3 linked regions of the Xenopus tropicalis genome follow. The protein of the gene in region 1 binds, or shares a complex with, the protein of each later gene. Links are inferred from orthologs where the notes say so. Each region holds a gene or a part of one and is shown in the gene's direction. Other genes may lie near its edges.

Evidence for each region.
Region 2: smarca5 (region 1) and dek share a complex: the UniProt entries of both Homo sapiens proteins name them as parts of the B-WICH complex. The link is inferred for Xenopus tropicalis from reciprocal best matches to the Homo sapiens genes SMARCA5 and DEK.
Region 3: smarca5 (region 1) and rsf1 share a complex: the UniProt entries of both Homo sapiens proteins name them as parts of the RSF-5 ISWI chromatin-remodeling complex. The link is inferred for Xenopus tropicalis from reciprocal best matches to the Homo sapiens genes SMARCA5 and RSF1.

The regions. Positions count from the first base shown.
Region 1 is NC_030677.2:59,223,627-59,229,214, reverse strand, and holds part of smarca5 (SWI/SNF-related matrix-associated actin-dependent regulator of chromatin subfamily A member 5), read left to right. Parts: intron 1-158; coding exon 159-291; intron 292-1,560; coding exon 1,561-1,709; intron 1,710-1,900; coding exon 1,901-2,020; intron 2,021-2,279; coding exon 2,280-2,390; intron 2,391-2,910; coding exon 2,911-3,024; intron 3,025-3,640; coding exon 3,641-3,763; intron 3,764-3,981; coding exon 3,982-4,114; intron 4,115-4,377; coding exon 4,378-4,496; intron 4,497-5,074; coding exon 5,075-5,287; intron 5,288-5,588. UniProt on the Homo sapiens protein: ATPase that possesses intrinsic ATP-dependent nucleosome-remodeling activity.
Region 2 is NC_030682.2:93,527,961-93,532,767, reverse strand, and holds part of dek (protein DEK), read left to right. Parts: intron 1-1,619; 5' UTR 1,620-1,628; coding exon 1,629-1,794; intron 1,795-4,080; coding exon 4,081-4,179; intron 4,180-4,807. UniProt on the Homo sapiens protein: Involved in chromatin organization.
Region 3 is NC_030678.2:168,868,480-168,873,286, reverse strand, and holds part of rsf1 (remodeling and spacing factor 1), read left to right. Parts: coding exon 1-234; intron 235-1,326; coding exon 1,327-1,536; intron 1,537-1,903; coding exon 1,904-2,008; intron 2,009-2,409; coding exon 2,410-2,489; intron 2,490-3,477; coding exon 3,478-3,532; intron 3,533-3,619; coding exon 3,620-3,726; intron 3,727-3,892; coding exon 3,893-3,966; intron 3,967-4,500; coding exon 4,501-4,560; intron 4,561-4,662; coding exon 4,663-4,807. UniProt on the Homo sapiens protein: Regulatory subunit of the ATP-dependent RSF-1 and RSF-5 ISWI chromatin-remodeling complexes, which form ordered nucleosome arrays on chromatin and facilitate access to DNA during DNA-templated processes such as DNA replication, transcription, and repair.

The DNA.
Region 1 (5,588 bases):
GCTCCCCATAACTTTTTCTCCCCATCCATTGCTGCAAAGTGGCTTCAATCAAAGCTGCTACTACTACTGTGGCACTGAAAAAAAATGCTCATATAGACTTGGTAGCTGTGTCTCTGCATTCAGCAATGTCTCATGCACATGTTACTTTGTATCTTTAGGATAGAGCACACAGAATTGGGCAAACTAAAACTGTTCGTGTGTTCAGATACATAACGGATAATACAGTTGAAGAGCGTATTGTGGAACGTGCTGAAATGAAACTGCGCTTAGATTCAATAGTTATTCAGCAAGGTATGTCTAAAAGAAGCTACTTGTGTCAATTGTATTAAGGGGTCTTTTGACAATAATTATCAGTAAAATTGTAGGTCCTGAGCTTTTTGGATATATAGTCCCATACTCGTAGAATATTTGTGTTTCCATGGCTCATTTGGTAGGATTATGTGGTCACTTGCCACAAATGTTGTTATATTTAAGTAGGCATTCTCTAGCCATGTGGGTGAACTGTGCTGGGAAAGGGAGGGGGAGCAAATTTCTGCCAGGGCTAACCATTTGGTAAGGCTAGAATAGTCTTGAGCCATCATGTTGAAAAAAATATACATTTCCTCACGTAGAGAATGAATGTGCTATAGAGCTTGGTACAGCTAGTATAGGCTTTTCATGTTTAGGGGTTATATTCTATTTTTGTTTAAACTGAGAGTACATTTCAGGTTGTATGTTTGTATGGCAGAGGGGCTAATTTACAGACACTGGACACATTTGCACCTATGCAGTCACCCATAGCAACCAACCAAATTTTTGTTTTCATAACTTGCAGCTACCTGAACAAAGCTAATCACTAGTTGCCATTAGGTTACAGCACAAGAGTATGGTACGTATAGGCAGAGTAGGGCAGGCAGAGTATGGCACACACAGGCTGTACTCTGCCTGTGTGTGTGTGCGCCATACTCTGCCTGCCCTATGCTGCCTGCGTGTGCCTTACTCTGCCTACCCTATGCTGCCTGCATGTGCCATACTCTGCCTGCCTTATGCTGCCTGTGTGTGCCTTACTCTGCCTACCCTATGCTGCCTGTTAGAGGTAAACCTGGCAGGGGTTTATTCTGGAAGTTTGTTAGCATTTGGAAATAGTAATATATGGTCCCTAAGATGTGTAATTTTATACTGGGGGATGCTGTGCTATCCACAGGTGAGGAGGAGGCATATGGATTTAAGGGTGTGTCGTAAATATTATAATTCTTTCACATATGAATGAAGGGTGATATCCCTACATCATTTGGGTTTTTGCTGCACTAACACCCTTACTGTTAGAAGCTCTTGTGATGGGTGTGGTTGGAAGTGTTTGTGGTTTTAAAAAAAAAAAAAAAAAAAAGGGGGGGGGTGGTCAAAACTGACTTCCATTATCGGCCCTTTGTACCACAGAAATTGGACAACACTGGTCTAGATATTTGAGTCATTCACAGGAATGACTCCAGATATTTTTATGGTTGTATCAATGGTGTGGGGTTTTTTTTTTTTTTTTTTTGCTTAATGTTTTACTGACTAACCTTTTTCCATATATTTCAGGTAGATTAGTGGACCAAAACCTAAATAAATTAGGGAAGGACGAAATGCTTCAAATGATTCGACATGGTGCTACTCATGTATTTGCATCAAAGGATAGTGAAATCACAGAGGAAGACATTAATGCAATCTTGGAGAGAGGGGAGAAGAAGGTACATTTTTATAGGCCTTTAACACTGAAGAGACATACAGAATCTCTCTGAACAAACTGTTACCCAGGATATTGTAATATATGCTAGCAATAGGATACCATTGGCACACCAGATGTTAGCATTTTTGAGTTGTTATGCAACAGTATACATTATTCCATTACTTTTTTTGCATTTTCTTTTTTTCCTTTAAGACTGCAGAAATGAATGAGAAACTCTCAAACATGGGTGAAAGTTCCCTTAGAAACTTCACGGTGGATAATGAATCCAGTGTTTATAACTTTGAAGGTGAAGATTACAGAGAAAAGCAAAAGGTGAGTCATATTTTCCATAGGTGTGTATTTAGTCTTACGGGCTTCTATAATTGGCTTCTTGCTTAATATGAGCTTCAGAAAATATGGGTGTTATCTAAAGATGCTAAGATTGTATAAAGTATGATAAACAATTAACTACAAAGATAATTAAAATTACTCCTTGAGTACCATAAAAATTTCCATGATTTTAAAAAAGTTAAAAACTATTCAAGTTAAGCATTATGGGAATCCTAACTTTCTTTCTGATATTAACTTATAGATGGCATTTACAGAGTGGATTGAACCACCGAAAAGGGAACGAAAAGCTAATTACGCGGTAGATGCGTATTTCCGCGAAGCACTCCGTGTTAGCGAGCCAAAAGTACCAAAGGTGAGTAGCTGAGTGCTACAGCAGTACTGGATGCAGTGAGAGGGATCACTAATTACTTTAGATCTGGAAATGGTATTTTTGGGTAGGGCTACAAAAGTCCAAAGCTGTATTTGGGGGTAATTGATTCAGCATTGTCATATATGGTATTGCTGTTTCAAGTACATGAGTTGTATTTGTCATAAGTCTGTGAGACCTTGGGATGGGAGGGTAAGTTGAAAATATACTGCTTAAAGTAATGCAGATATTTGCTGCAGGGGTAGATGATGGTTACTAATGTTACAAGATTTAGATCTTTAAACGCATCTCTAGAGGTGTGAAATATTGCGCTAATTAGAAAAGTTCATGCTAAGCTGCTCCTTGCTGATGTAAAGAATTGTCTGCCATATAAACTACAGAAGCTCATTCTAGTTTCCATCTCTATATGTAATTATCTGTATAGTGGAGACATGAGCTTGAAAAGAAAAATGTTGGTTCCCTTACTGTGCAGCTTATGTCATGTAAATAATATTATGTCTTATAGGCTCCCAGACCCCCAAAACAGCCAAATGTTCAAGATTTTCAGTTTTTCCCTCCACGTCTATTTGAGTTATTGGAAAAAGAAATTCTCTATTACAGGAAAACAATTGGCTACAAGGTAAGTTCTCATTTCTAAATTAAATGTGATAAGTGCCAATTTGTTTTGCAAGGTTCCTATTAAGTCTTTTCTCTGCAGCTAAAGCCATAGCTGTTATTGTAGTGTTTGGTTGGTAGTATGCAGGTTCCATTGTGCACACATTACTTGTATTGCGGCACACAAAATAAATGTTTTGTAAACCAATGCATATCTGCTTCAGGCCTAGCCTTCTCTTACGCATGTTTGGGTGAAACGACCTCCAGCATACCTACTTTCTCTTGCATGTAGGATAGTCCTTCCCAACAGGCAATGATAATGAATTATAGAAACATTTCTCATTTGATATATAGTGAATTTGCAGGAGCTCAATAAGGTGGTTTGCTTGATTACAAAAACAAAGAGAAGACAATTGGCAAAGGAAGTCAATATGCAATTCAGAGTTATGCAGGGATGCCAGATTGCAAAACAAGATACATTCCATGCACTTTCAGTTTGTAGATGATTTGCTTTACCCCCATTATTCCTAAATCAGAAAATGTTTTTTGAAATGCCAGAGAAATTAATTTTGCCATCTGCTCAAACCACTTGCTGTTTTATGCATATTGATATGACAATTATTTTTTCTTGCTTATTTTAGGTACCACGTAATCCTGATCTGCCAAATGCAGCACAAGCACAAAAGGAAGAACAACTAAAAATTGATGAGGCAGAGCCCCTCAATGATGAAGAGTTAGAGGAGAAAGAGAAATTGTTAACTCAGGTAGGAAGAAACAGTACAGTGCTTTGAAGAGAAACTGCATTTTTAATATGGACAGGATGAAAGTTTGATTAGCGTTGATAAGGTAGATGGTGTATGTAGGGTTTGAGACCAAAAAGCTTGTTGTTTTTAGCCTGTACAGTTCTGTTGCCTGTAGACGTACATTCAAGCATGTTCAGATTCTGGAAGAGTTATGTATGTTTTCCTCTCATGACTTTCAGGGTTTCACAAACTGGAATAAGAGAGATTTCAACCAGTTTATTAAGGCTAATGAGAAATGGGGTCGTGATGATATTGAAAATATTGCGCGGGAAGTGGAAGGCAAGACACCAGAGGAAGTCATTGAGTATTCAGGTAATCCTTTCATTGTAGACACAAATGTTTTTAATTGCTAAATAAACTAGTACAGTATTGTGGATATTCACTGGAAGACCTTCCTAAGCTTAATATGCATTTAGCTTCTGCTTTCACATACTTTTTATTTATTTATTCTCAGGCTCCTGGGCAAGTATTTGCTATGAGACCTATAAAGTCATATTGCTACCTATAACTCTGTACTCAGAAGCCTGTAGTTTCTTTTTATTGTTCCAAGTAACAATTTAATTTTTTTCATTTAGCGGTCTTCTGGGAAAGGTGCAATGAGCTTCAAGATATCGAGAAGATAATGGCTCAAATAGAAAGGGGAGAAGCGAGGATACAGAGGAGGATTAGCATAAAGAAAGCTCTAGACACAAAGGTACCATTGGTATTTGCACACAGTTTAGACTGACGCTTTATTTTTTGCTTAAATTGCTGTGCACATTAAACCCTGCCAGTAGATCCACACACACACACACTAAGGTACAGAGTTATTTACATGCAGGCCTGCTATTAGAAACTCGTGTGGCTTTGAAGAAGAAAATCTGTACCGATTTTATGAAAACAAATTCTATGCAGTTTTAGTCCCCCTTCACTTTACTTGCTCTCACTGCTGCAGATAAATCTTTAGATGGCAGCTGACTGCTCTATGTGGAAATCATCAGCACTGCCCGATTTCAACCTGGTCCTACATCTGGTAAAATCTCAGCTGTTGGATTTTGCTGAATTGGGAGTGGGTTTGAGGTCCACCTTAGAACTTTCAGGATACTGGATAAAGGTCCAGTATCTGTATGCTGTTTCGCTGGGACCCTTTGCCCCTTGGTGGCTGCCCTTTATACAGGACTAACCATGACCCTCTTGCTTCCTAAATGTATTTGTAAAATTAGAATGGAACTCCTTATTGCAAATTTTACGCTACACAATTACGTTTAGACTAATGTCACTTAATTTTTTTAGATTGGAAGATACAAAGCACCTTTCCACCAACTGAGGATTTCGTATGGTACAAACAAAGGAAAAAACTACACTGAGGAAGAGGATCGTTTTCTCATTTGCATGTTACACAAGCTAGGTTTTGATAAGGAAAATGTGTATGATGAACTGCGGCAGTGTATACGGAACTCTCCCCAGTTCAGATTTGACTGGTTCTTAAAATCAAGAACAGCAATGGTGAGTCTTAGCTTTCGATTTCTTCAGGAAATACAATAAATTTGGATTTAATCTGTTTTTTTGGTTTTTTTTTTATTTTAAAATGTTACTTCCACTATATTTTTTCTCATTGAGAAAAAATTAGTACTGAATAGAATTAGTACTGTCAGTGCATCAGCTTACAAAGCTTGACATGTGGCATCAACCAGTACGGTTTGGGTGTTAATATCCTGGTTCTGTGACCTGTAGGAGGTGAATATTTGCCTGCCCTGCAGCTGGTTGCAGCCCCGGCAAAATCCCATCTGGATGTATAGCTGGCAGT
Region 2 (4,807 bases), on another chromosome or scaffold:
GCAGATAGATATTGGATATTTCAAGAGTGATGACAGATGCCACATTATCTTTAGGGTGATGACAAACCATGGTTTTAAACTTATTTTTAATAGTTCTGTGGGAGGGGAGTAAAACATTTTAAACTGGGAATCTCATGCAAGGGGGCCTGTCCAGTTACGTGAAAAATTCTTATCTCTAAAAAATGCATTTTCAAACAATAAGCAGCACTTGGCAGGACTTAAGCTGGCCAGACATGGGTAGATTTAATATGCCAATTCAACTCCTTCAGACCGAGTTTGCCAGATATCTATCAGGCAAATTTTAAAATCCCTTTGAGCTAGGACTGCTATGGTGTGTTAATGCAGTCCTCTTGCAACAGGCCTACATAGGCCCTCGCTGTATGATTGTGGGTGGCTAAACTGGGCCCAGATCGCTTGTTTAGCAACCTTGCCTACTGAGCAGATTTGGCTGTGTAATGCCAGCTTAAGAACTTGTGGGCAGGATTTATGTTTTTAGTCCCCTTCCATGGAAATTGAACCAGATTTTAAAAGGCAGTGTGTCTGTGACTAGTTATCTATTTGTCAGATTACCAGTACAGTAAGACAGGTGTTTGCAAGATACTACATACAGTATTATTATTTTAATGGATTTCGTAAGAGAAAGTAAACCACAAGAGCTTCTGAAATCCTGTGGGGTTTCTGAAAGCTGAACAGCAGACTTATTTACATTCATAATTTCCCTTGTGTCTGTCCTCTTGCATCAAGCGCTCATATTATGCTCTAATCATTATATGCTAATGTATTAATTAGTATGATCATTCATAACATCTCCTTATAGTATGCAATATAAAAAGATGATTTTGCTACTTGATATCATTTTTATTATCATAACATAGAAGAATATATACAGAAAAATAACATGCTGAAAATGTATTCTGTCTATTGGATTAATTATAATGCATTTTGTCTATTTGTTTATTATAAATTGCAAGAACCAGGAAGTTTGAAACATAACATTTATACTGTTACATGTAGTGGATAAGCCTGTCCTTTGCAGAGATGAAAGAGCCTACATCTTATCATTGGATTTATTTGTATTGTTGTAGATTAATAATGTATTCTTTATGTTAGCACTACGCTTTTTAAAAATGTTTGAAGCTAGTACTTAGGCTACTATATATGACCTAACCAGCAGTGATCCCCAACCAGTGGCTTGGCAGCAAAGTGTTGCCTACCAACCCCTTGGATGTTGCTCCAAGTGGCCTCTAAGCAGGCAAGTTTTGGTTTAATAAAAAACAGCTGCCAAACAGAGCCTCCTATAGATTGGCTATCTGGTAGCCCCAATATGACAATCACATCCCTTATTTGGTACCCCAGGAATTTTACTATGCTTGTGTTGCTCCCCAGATCTTTTTACTTTGAATGTGGTTCATGGGTAAAAAAAAGTTGGACACCTGCCCCATGGTTACATCTCCCACATTTCCTGTATAGATACAAAATTGCTGAAGTTAATTTATTAGCTATTGCCTGTTTGCCTTTTTAAGTAAACCAGTTTGAAACATATGAGCTTTAGTGCAAATCTCCAGCATACAGTTAGAAATTATGTAGGTTTTGATTATGCCTTGATGTTTTTTCTTCAGGAAAGAAACATGTCTTCTGACACTGAATCCAATGCACTCACTAAAGAGGAATCTGAACAAATTGAAGAGGCTACCGAAGAAAAAATGACTGACGATGCAGAAAATGGAAAAGAGGAAGATGAAGAAGAAGAAGAGGAGGAAGATGATGAGGAGGAAGATGATGATGATAAAAAGGGTATCTATAGTGTTTTATAGCTTTATATGTAAATGTATAGAACGCTCATCTCTCCAACCAACTTCTGAAAAAAGCCTGTGAAAATTTGAAGACTTGTACAGCAGGAAGTATTGATACCAGTGTATGTTTTTATATAATGCATTCTAAATTCTGGTTCTCTTCTACTGCTTATATTGAACTAGTATTAAATATACTTGTTTGAAGTAAGGAAATATAATTGTTAAATAAAAATGGAATAGTTGAGGTCTGTTACCCTAGCTGTACATCTTTACACCTCACTCCCTCAAACATACCAACACCCGCCTCATTAAAAGTTGGATATGCTGAGATATTTACTGAGACCCACACAAAGGATTGTCATCACAGCCCTAGTGATGTATTACATGGAAATAACTGAGCAATAAGTAAATATGTAAATTAGTCTCTACCATCTGCATGTTTGGTTAGGTTGGCAAATGTGTGGATCTTTGCCTGATTTCTCCACAGACAAGCAAAATCAGGCTGATCCAGTCAACTGGATCATACTGTGGACCCACTGGGAGAGGAACACATGAATTTCATGTCTTTGTGTGGTACATATGTTTATAGTTGTTAGTGTTGGTTTTTGAAGCTTAGAAAGATATACATGCTAAAACTGTTACAGAGACAAACTCATACTAGGGCACTATCTAATCGCATACTCAACTTTGAGAAATAGACTATGGAAAGACAACGAAAAGTTGGTATATGATCTAGTATTGTAGGATCTAGTTGGATCTATGCTTGGGAACTTGGGTTTTCTGGACAAGAGGTTTCTGTAATTTGGATCATTATAACTAAATAAAAATTTAAGGCTGCTGGCACACAGGGAGATTAGTTGCCAGCAATAAATAAAAATTATATAATAAATTAAATTACTTGTGGGAAAACATTTGCTGCCATTTTTTCCTTTGTGAAGAAACTTTAGGTGACTTTGAAAAGCACCCCATATTTTTTCCCACTGGCGATTTACTTGCTGGTGGAAGGGCATTTGTAGAAGATTAGTCGCCTGCAATAGAGGTGATTTATCCCAGGCGACTGTTGTTCTTCTGTTTCAGCAGCATAAACATTAAAGTGGTTTAAAGTAAGTAAAATATAATATATTGCTGCTGTGTGCTGATAAAACTGGAGTGTTTGCTTTAGAAGGCAACTATAGTTTATGGAAATAAGCTGCTGTGTAGCCACGGGGGCAGCCATTTCAGCTGGAATAAAGGTTAAAAGGTGCAGGTTACATAGCAGATAACAGATGAACTTTTTAGAATACAATGGTCTTTTACAGAGCTTATCTGTTTTCTGCTATGTAAAATGTGCCATTTAGCCCTATTTCTATATGAATAGCTATGCCCATGGCTACATTGCAGCTTTGTTTACATAAACTGTAGTATTATTTCTGAAGCTAACACAACTTTTACCAGTCCAAGGCAACAGTACATAATATATTAATTACACTTGTATTTTTTGGTGTTTACGTTCCTTTAAACCAACCAATAGCTTTGTTTTGCCACAAATATGAATTCATGCAGCTTAGTTAATATCTAGTGCAAGATACTGTATTACACAGAAAAAAGTAAATAATGTAAAAAAAAAACTGTGGTCATGAGCACTACAATGTAACATTCAACATACTTTCGTTCAAACGTGGAAGGTCATCACTGAGAGTTGGCAAATTATTAGGCATACAATGCACAATTAATATGTAGCAAATTAGAAAATCCTGTTGTATGAGGACCACATTAATTCATTAAATAAATTTCTCTCCTGACAGCCCTCCCTAGTCCTTCATTATGATTTGATTGTTGGCACAGTGGCCAACTGATCATCCTGATTTGGGCCAGCACATTGTAGCCAAATTGGGTAAATATTTACTCATCCACCAACCTCTCCAAACAAGCAGGTGTATCCCAACTTAAGTCTTGAGAATAATGTATATAGTTAACACTTGAGCAAAATGTTAAAAGCCCTAGTTAGTATTAGTATGGTATTTTTATGTGACCCTGGAGTATTCTTGTTTCTTTTCAAGAGTTCCTTGGAAAAGGTATACACAGGTTTATATTGATGAATATGAAATGATTTTATTCTCACTTTGTATTTATTTAGTAAAATATTGGAAGATGTGTGTGTTTTATTACCGTAACTTTTCTCAAAGCATGTTTCAAAATTCTTTATTGATCAGTATGATGCACCTTCAGCTGTGTGAAGTTATGACTATACAAATATACAAATAATATTAATACTCATCCTAAATTGTGTGAGATCTTTTTTTTGCAGAGAAAAGCTTAATTGTAGAAGGGAAAAGGGAGAAGAAAAAGGTGGAAAGACTAAGCCTCGAGATGAATATATCTAAAAAGGAGTTTGTTCTGACTGAAGGTAATGTTTTTACTTGTTCAAAAGTAAGTTCTACCTATGAAATTGATTTGCAACCTTGTCAGATCTAAAAACTATAATGTTTATTTTTGAAATAAAAACTACTAGATAGGTTTTTAGGGCTCTCTTTCTGATTACTGTATTTCAAATACCGTCTTTGCTCTGTTTTTTACTCTGTATAAATGAGTTGCTCATTCAAGTGCTTTCAGACAATAGTCATAAATGCTGATTTAAGTGTTTTGCTTTCCTTAGCCCTGTTTGCTTTACCTTTAAAATGAAGTGTTCAAAATACCCAAAATATGCCATTCCCTTATATGTACCAGTATCTTATTTTGAGAGTCAAATAAATAATTAGATCTCTGGAAGGGAGGGGATCTGGTTTTCATCTCATCCAGTCCATCTTTAATCTGTTTGATCCAAGTCAAATTCCACAGACTAAAGCTGATCATACACTGAAAGGTCCGCACTTTTGGCTAGTTTGCCAAACAGCGGATCATTTCCTGATATGCCCACCTTAAGGCGAACAATATCAGACCTGATCAATTGGCCCTCGGGCCAAACTATCAAATCACATTGATGCAGGCTGTTTGGACAAGGACCACATGATGAGCTGACACACCCCTTACCCGGA
Region 3 (4,807 bases), on another chromosome or scaffold:
CATGAGGTACCGGAGGCACAGCCTGAAATTTCAGAGGAGGCTGAGGAAAGTATCGGTCGCACATTGAGGCGTTCCCCTCGAATTTCCCGCCCTTCGGTGAAGCCAGCTGCTGAAGTCAAAGATCGAAAGGCAGAAAAGAAACAAAGCGACGAGGAAGACAAGCCTGCTTCTCAGAGAACAGAGAAAGATGACGAGAGAAAGACTGATAAAGACTCAAGCCAAAAAATAAAAAAGGTGCTTGTTTGTAAGATTTGTGTCCAGTAATGTCATGGGCCTTGCCTACTTACGGCTGTGGCACGTTGGGCATTTTGACCAGAACTGTAGGAAAAATATTTATATATAAGCTGGGGGTTACAGCTATTTTATTATAATACAAAATATCATGTAAATAATATAATTATTAATATACTTACTCCCAGTAGCCAATCAGCAGAACAATGGGAAGGGAGCAAGATAGCAGCTCCCAGTAGGTATCAGAATAGCACTCAATAGTAAGAAATCCAAGTCCGGCTTGGGACTCCTCCAGTTACATGGGAGTAGGAGAAACAATAGGTTAGCTGAAAGCAGTTCTAATGTGTAGCGCTGGCTGAAAGCTCAGACTCAGGCACAATGTACTGAGATGGCGCCTACACACCAATATTACAGCTAAAAAATTCATTTATTGGTTGAAGAATGAAATGTTAAATGGCAGAGTGAATTATTTGCTGTGTAACAGTGAAATTTAGAAATAAAAGTACCCCATAAAAATCATGATAGAATGTAATTTCTGTCACATTACTCAGTGAAAACTTGCATATTGTAACAAATAATGTACCCCTTGTTATAAAATATGAGGATATTAGAAGCCACCTTGGATTTCCATGACGTGTACATTTATAGGGTCATGAAACTTCTTAGTATCTTATAATAGCTTTATATTTTACAATAGGCATTACATTATTCACAATATATTTAGTCAAATATATGGACCATGGAGCCAGATTTATCTTATTACTGGTGTTTTTCAGTGGGAGCTGTCCTAGTGTTTTCTCATCAGAACATCAAAATCTTTAACGTGTAGACTAAAAAATATGAAATTTTACAGGGGTCATTGCAATTCAAATATGTGGGTTTTTATTGAAATAGATTGAGGCAGTGCAGGGCTGTGGATAATTCTCTGGGACCAATCCTGTCTGTGTTTCCTTTTACATTCTCTTTTCTTCCTTCATAAGTTTCCTAGAGAGCACAGCTAATAAAGCTTCTGGCTGTAAAGGACCAGGGCCATATTATTATTAAGAGCAGCTTTCTGTTCCAGCTAATGTATGTGTATTTCTCACCTTGAATCAGAATAAACCAAGGCAGAGGAGGCGAGCGCGTTGGACAAACTCTCGGTCGCGGCGGAGACGCAAATCTTCCAGTGAGGATGAAAGTGAGGAGTCTGACAGTGAGGAGGATTCAGAGGGGGATTCAGAAGATGAAGAGAATAAGGAAGATGGTGCCCCCGGTGAAGATGATGAGCCTTGCAAGAAGTGTGGCCTCCCCAACCACCCAGAATTGGTTAGTACTAAATATATTGCAAACGTACCACAACTTATAAATCTGCTCCATCACTAGAAAAATACTAGTTTCCTGCTACAGATTCAAAACTATTTTTTTTTAATAAACCCTTTGTATGTATGTGATAGAGATAATAGAAGGGCAGCATAGGGATTCCCCTGTACTAAGCACAATTCAGCAGGAACAGCCCCCTAAGTTTGCTCATAGCCTGTACAGTGAGATACCAAAAAACTATGGCAGCATAGGGATTCCTCTGTACTAAGCACAATTCAGTAGGAAATTCCTTATTTATTCTGCAGCATTTTAAACTGTGTTAACAAGGGATGCTGAACTGTTAATAATTTACCCGTATTGTTTTTTCATTCAGATTTTGTTGTGTGACTCCTGTGACAGTGGATACCATACGGCTTGCCTTAGGCCACCCCTGATGTTGATTCCAGACGGAGAATGGTTCTGCCCTCCATGCCAACATGTATGATTCCAGTTGCACATTTTAGTATCCGTATACAATTATTGTTTGGAACTAATATAGATACTATTGACGCTCTACTATAAACTACTATACTAGACTACTGTGTTCCTATTCCTCTATTCCTATTCCTATTTCTTCTCTACTACATAGCGCCTATCCAACTCTTTATCTGCCCCAATGTATTGTAGCTCATGTATTTGAGATACTAAGCGTTAGCCTTTTCCAAGGATTTCAATGGGAGCATTCTCACATCAGATGGGTCATATAGCATCTTTTTCATTTTCATTTTTTAGTTAAGGCTCAGTAAATAGGTATCAAGGCATAAACACTTATTACCGGAAGCAAAAATAAGTGATAAGTAATTTTGCTGATTAATATACCTTTCCCTTATTTATAAACAGAAGCTACTGTGTGAAAAACTGGATGAGCAGTTACAGAATTTAGATGTGGTTCTGAAGAAGAAGGAGCGAGCAGAGAGGAGGTATTTAATTGCACTTCCTAACATTGCCACTGTTGCTGCTATTGCGAGTTGCATCAGTTACCTCTTAAAGACTGTAAAATGCATTTGCTTTCCAATTTTCAGTATCCTTTGTTTTCCATAGCTTTTATGCAATTGCTATTGACTCAGCATACATTTTTAACCTTGAGTCTGACCCAAACCTCCTTATCCAACCCATATGCTCCTTACTTTGTTGCTGTCCCTTTACTAGAAAGCAAATAGGCCACATTCCTCAATGTCCAACTTTCCTTTACAAGAAAGCAAAATGCAGAGAGCATGGTCTGACATCATTAATGCCAGAGAACGGTCAGCAAAATGGCCATAAAGAATAAGTAAACCTTTTACTTTTCCCTGCATTCAGATTTATCTCTCCGACTATGAAAATATCAGAGGTGACTACTGCGCATGCCTGATTGATTTTAATTGGAGCAGAGGCAGTGAGCATGTCCAGTAGGCAACTCTTTGAGGTCTTCATAATTGGAGAAAAGGGCTCAGAAAGAAAAAGGGGACAGCGCTTTACACTAGCCAACAAAGTCAGCAAAAGCTGCAGCTGAACTGGCTGTAATAGAGCAACTAAATAAATCTGCATCCAGGGAGAAAGGTATGTTGGAGTAATTTTAAAGATTAAAAAAAAGTTTACTTATCCTTTAAATTGATAGCATTCATCCAATAGCAAGTATATTATAAGTATTAATGTGACTGTTTTGCTTACAAATGAAGAGACATATGAACTTGCACTTGATCTTGCAAATACTGGCCAGACTGTTGCTATGTAACATTAGCCTGACACTAGTCATTTTTGCAAGAGCTGAGTGTTTTTGTAGGCTGGGATCTCTAAACTGCAATTCATATCTGGCCGTCTGAGGAACTCCAACCTGAAGGCCATAGTTTGAATATTCATACTGTGATTTGGTAGTTTGTCATAACAATCAAAACGTATAATTACCCGTATGTATTGTTTTCATTGTAGGAAAGAACGGTTAGTTTACGTTGGAATCAGCCTCGAGAACATCATCCCAACTCAAGTAAGCTTTTCATCTCCATATCTTATCACTAACTGGCACATGATTTGGGATAGAACACTGAGAACTGATATTGAAATGTTGCATTAGGAACAAGAGGAGGTGCCGGAGGTACAGGAAAAAGAAGAAAAGAAGAAAAAGAAACCAAAGTCATTGGAAAGACGGTCCACAAGAGCAAGAAAGTTCATAAGCTACAGGTTGGACTTTTATTGTTATTATGTAGGCTTTGGCTGCCGTGGCACAGCTGTGGTTTAGATATGAGTTAGATGAAATGTATCTTGGATTTGGATATAGTATTTTGATTGTATGTTAATTGAATTTTCCTTTCACTTAATGTTTCCATTTACTGACAACTTGTCTTAGGTTTGATGAATTCGATGAAGCAATCGATGAAGCAATAGAAGATGATATCAGAGATGCAGATGGAGGGGGTGGAGGTAGATTCCTTTTCTCCCTTCTAGTTACATTTAGAGTGAGAAAGCATGGTAACTTAAAGGGGTGGCTCACCTTAACGTTAACTTTTAATGTTATAGAAGGACCAATTCTAAGCAACTTTTCAATTAATCTGTATTTTTTGTAGTTTTTGAATTATTTGCCTCCTTCTGACTCTTTCAAATGGGAGTTACTGACCCCGGAAGCTGAAAAACTATTGCTCTGTTTGCTCTGTGAGGCTCTAATTTTATTGCTATTGTTACTTTTTATGACTTATTTTTCTATTCAGGTTTTCTAATGATGATATACCAGTCTTTAATTTATACCACTCCCTGGTTGCTAAGGTAACTTAAACCCTATCAACCAGATAACTGCTGAAATGGCAAACTGGAGAGATACTGAGCAAAAAATGAAATAATAAAAAAAAATACAAATAATAAAAAATGAAGACCAATTGCAGATTTTATTAGAATATTACTGTCTACATCATACTAAATTTGACTCAAAATTGAACAACCCCTTTAATCTTCCCTGCATAGGACTGTTGCACATTAGCACACATACCGCACGTATGGACTGTGATAACACAAAGCATCAGGGTAACACGCTTGGAATCCTTATTATTATATTAATAAGCATTTCCATGTTGTCTAAAATGGCCCAATGAAAATTACCATTTTTTTCCCTTTTGTATGTGCTAGCTACTGGTCGAGGGAAGGACATGTCCAACATCACTGGGCACCGAGGAAAGGACATTTCCACCATTTTGGAAGGAGAAAAGACAGAAGGAAAACGGCCACAGAGAGCAGTCTCTCGCCGTAAAAAACGCAGGCGGCTGAATGACTT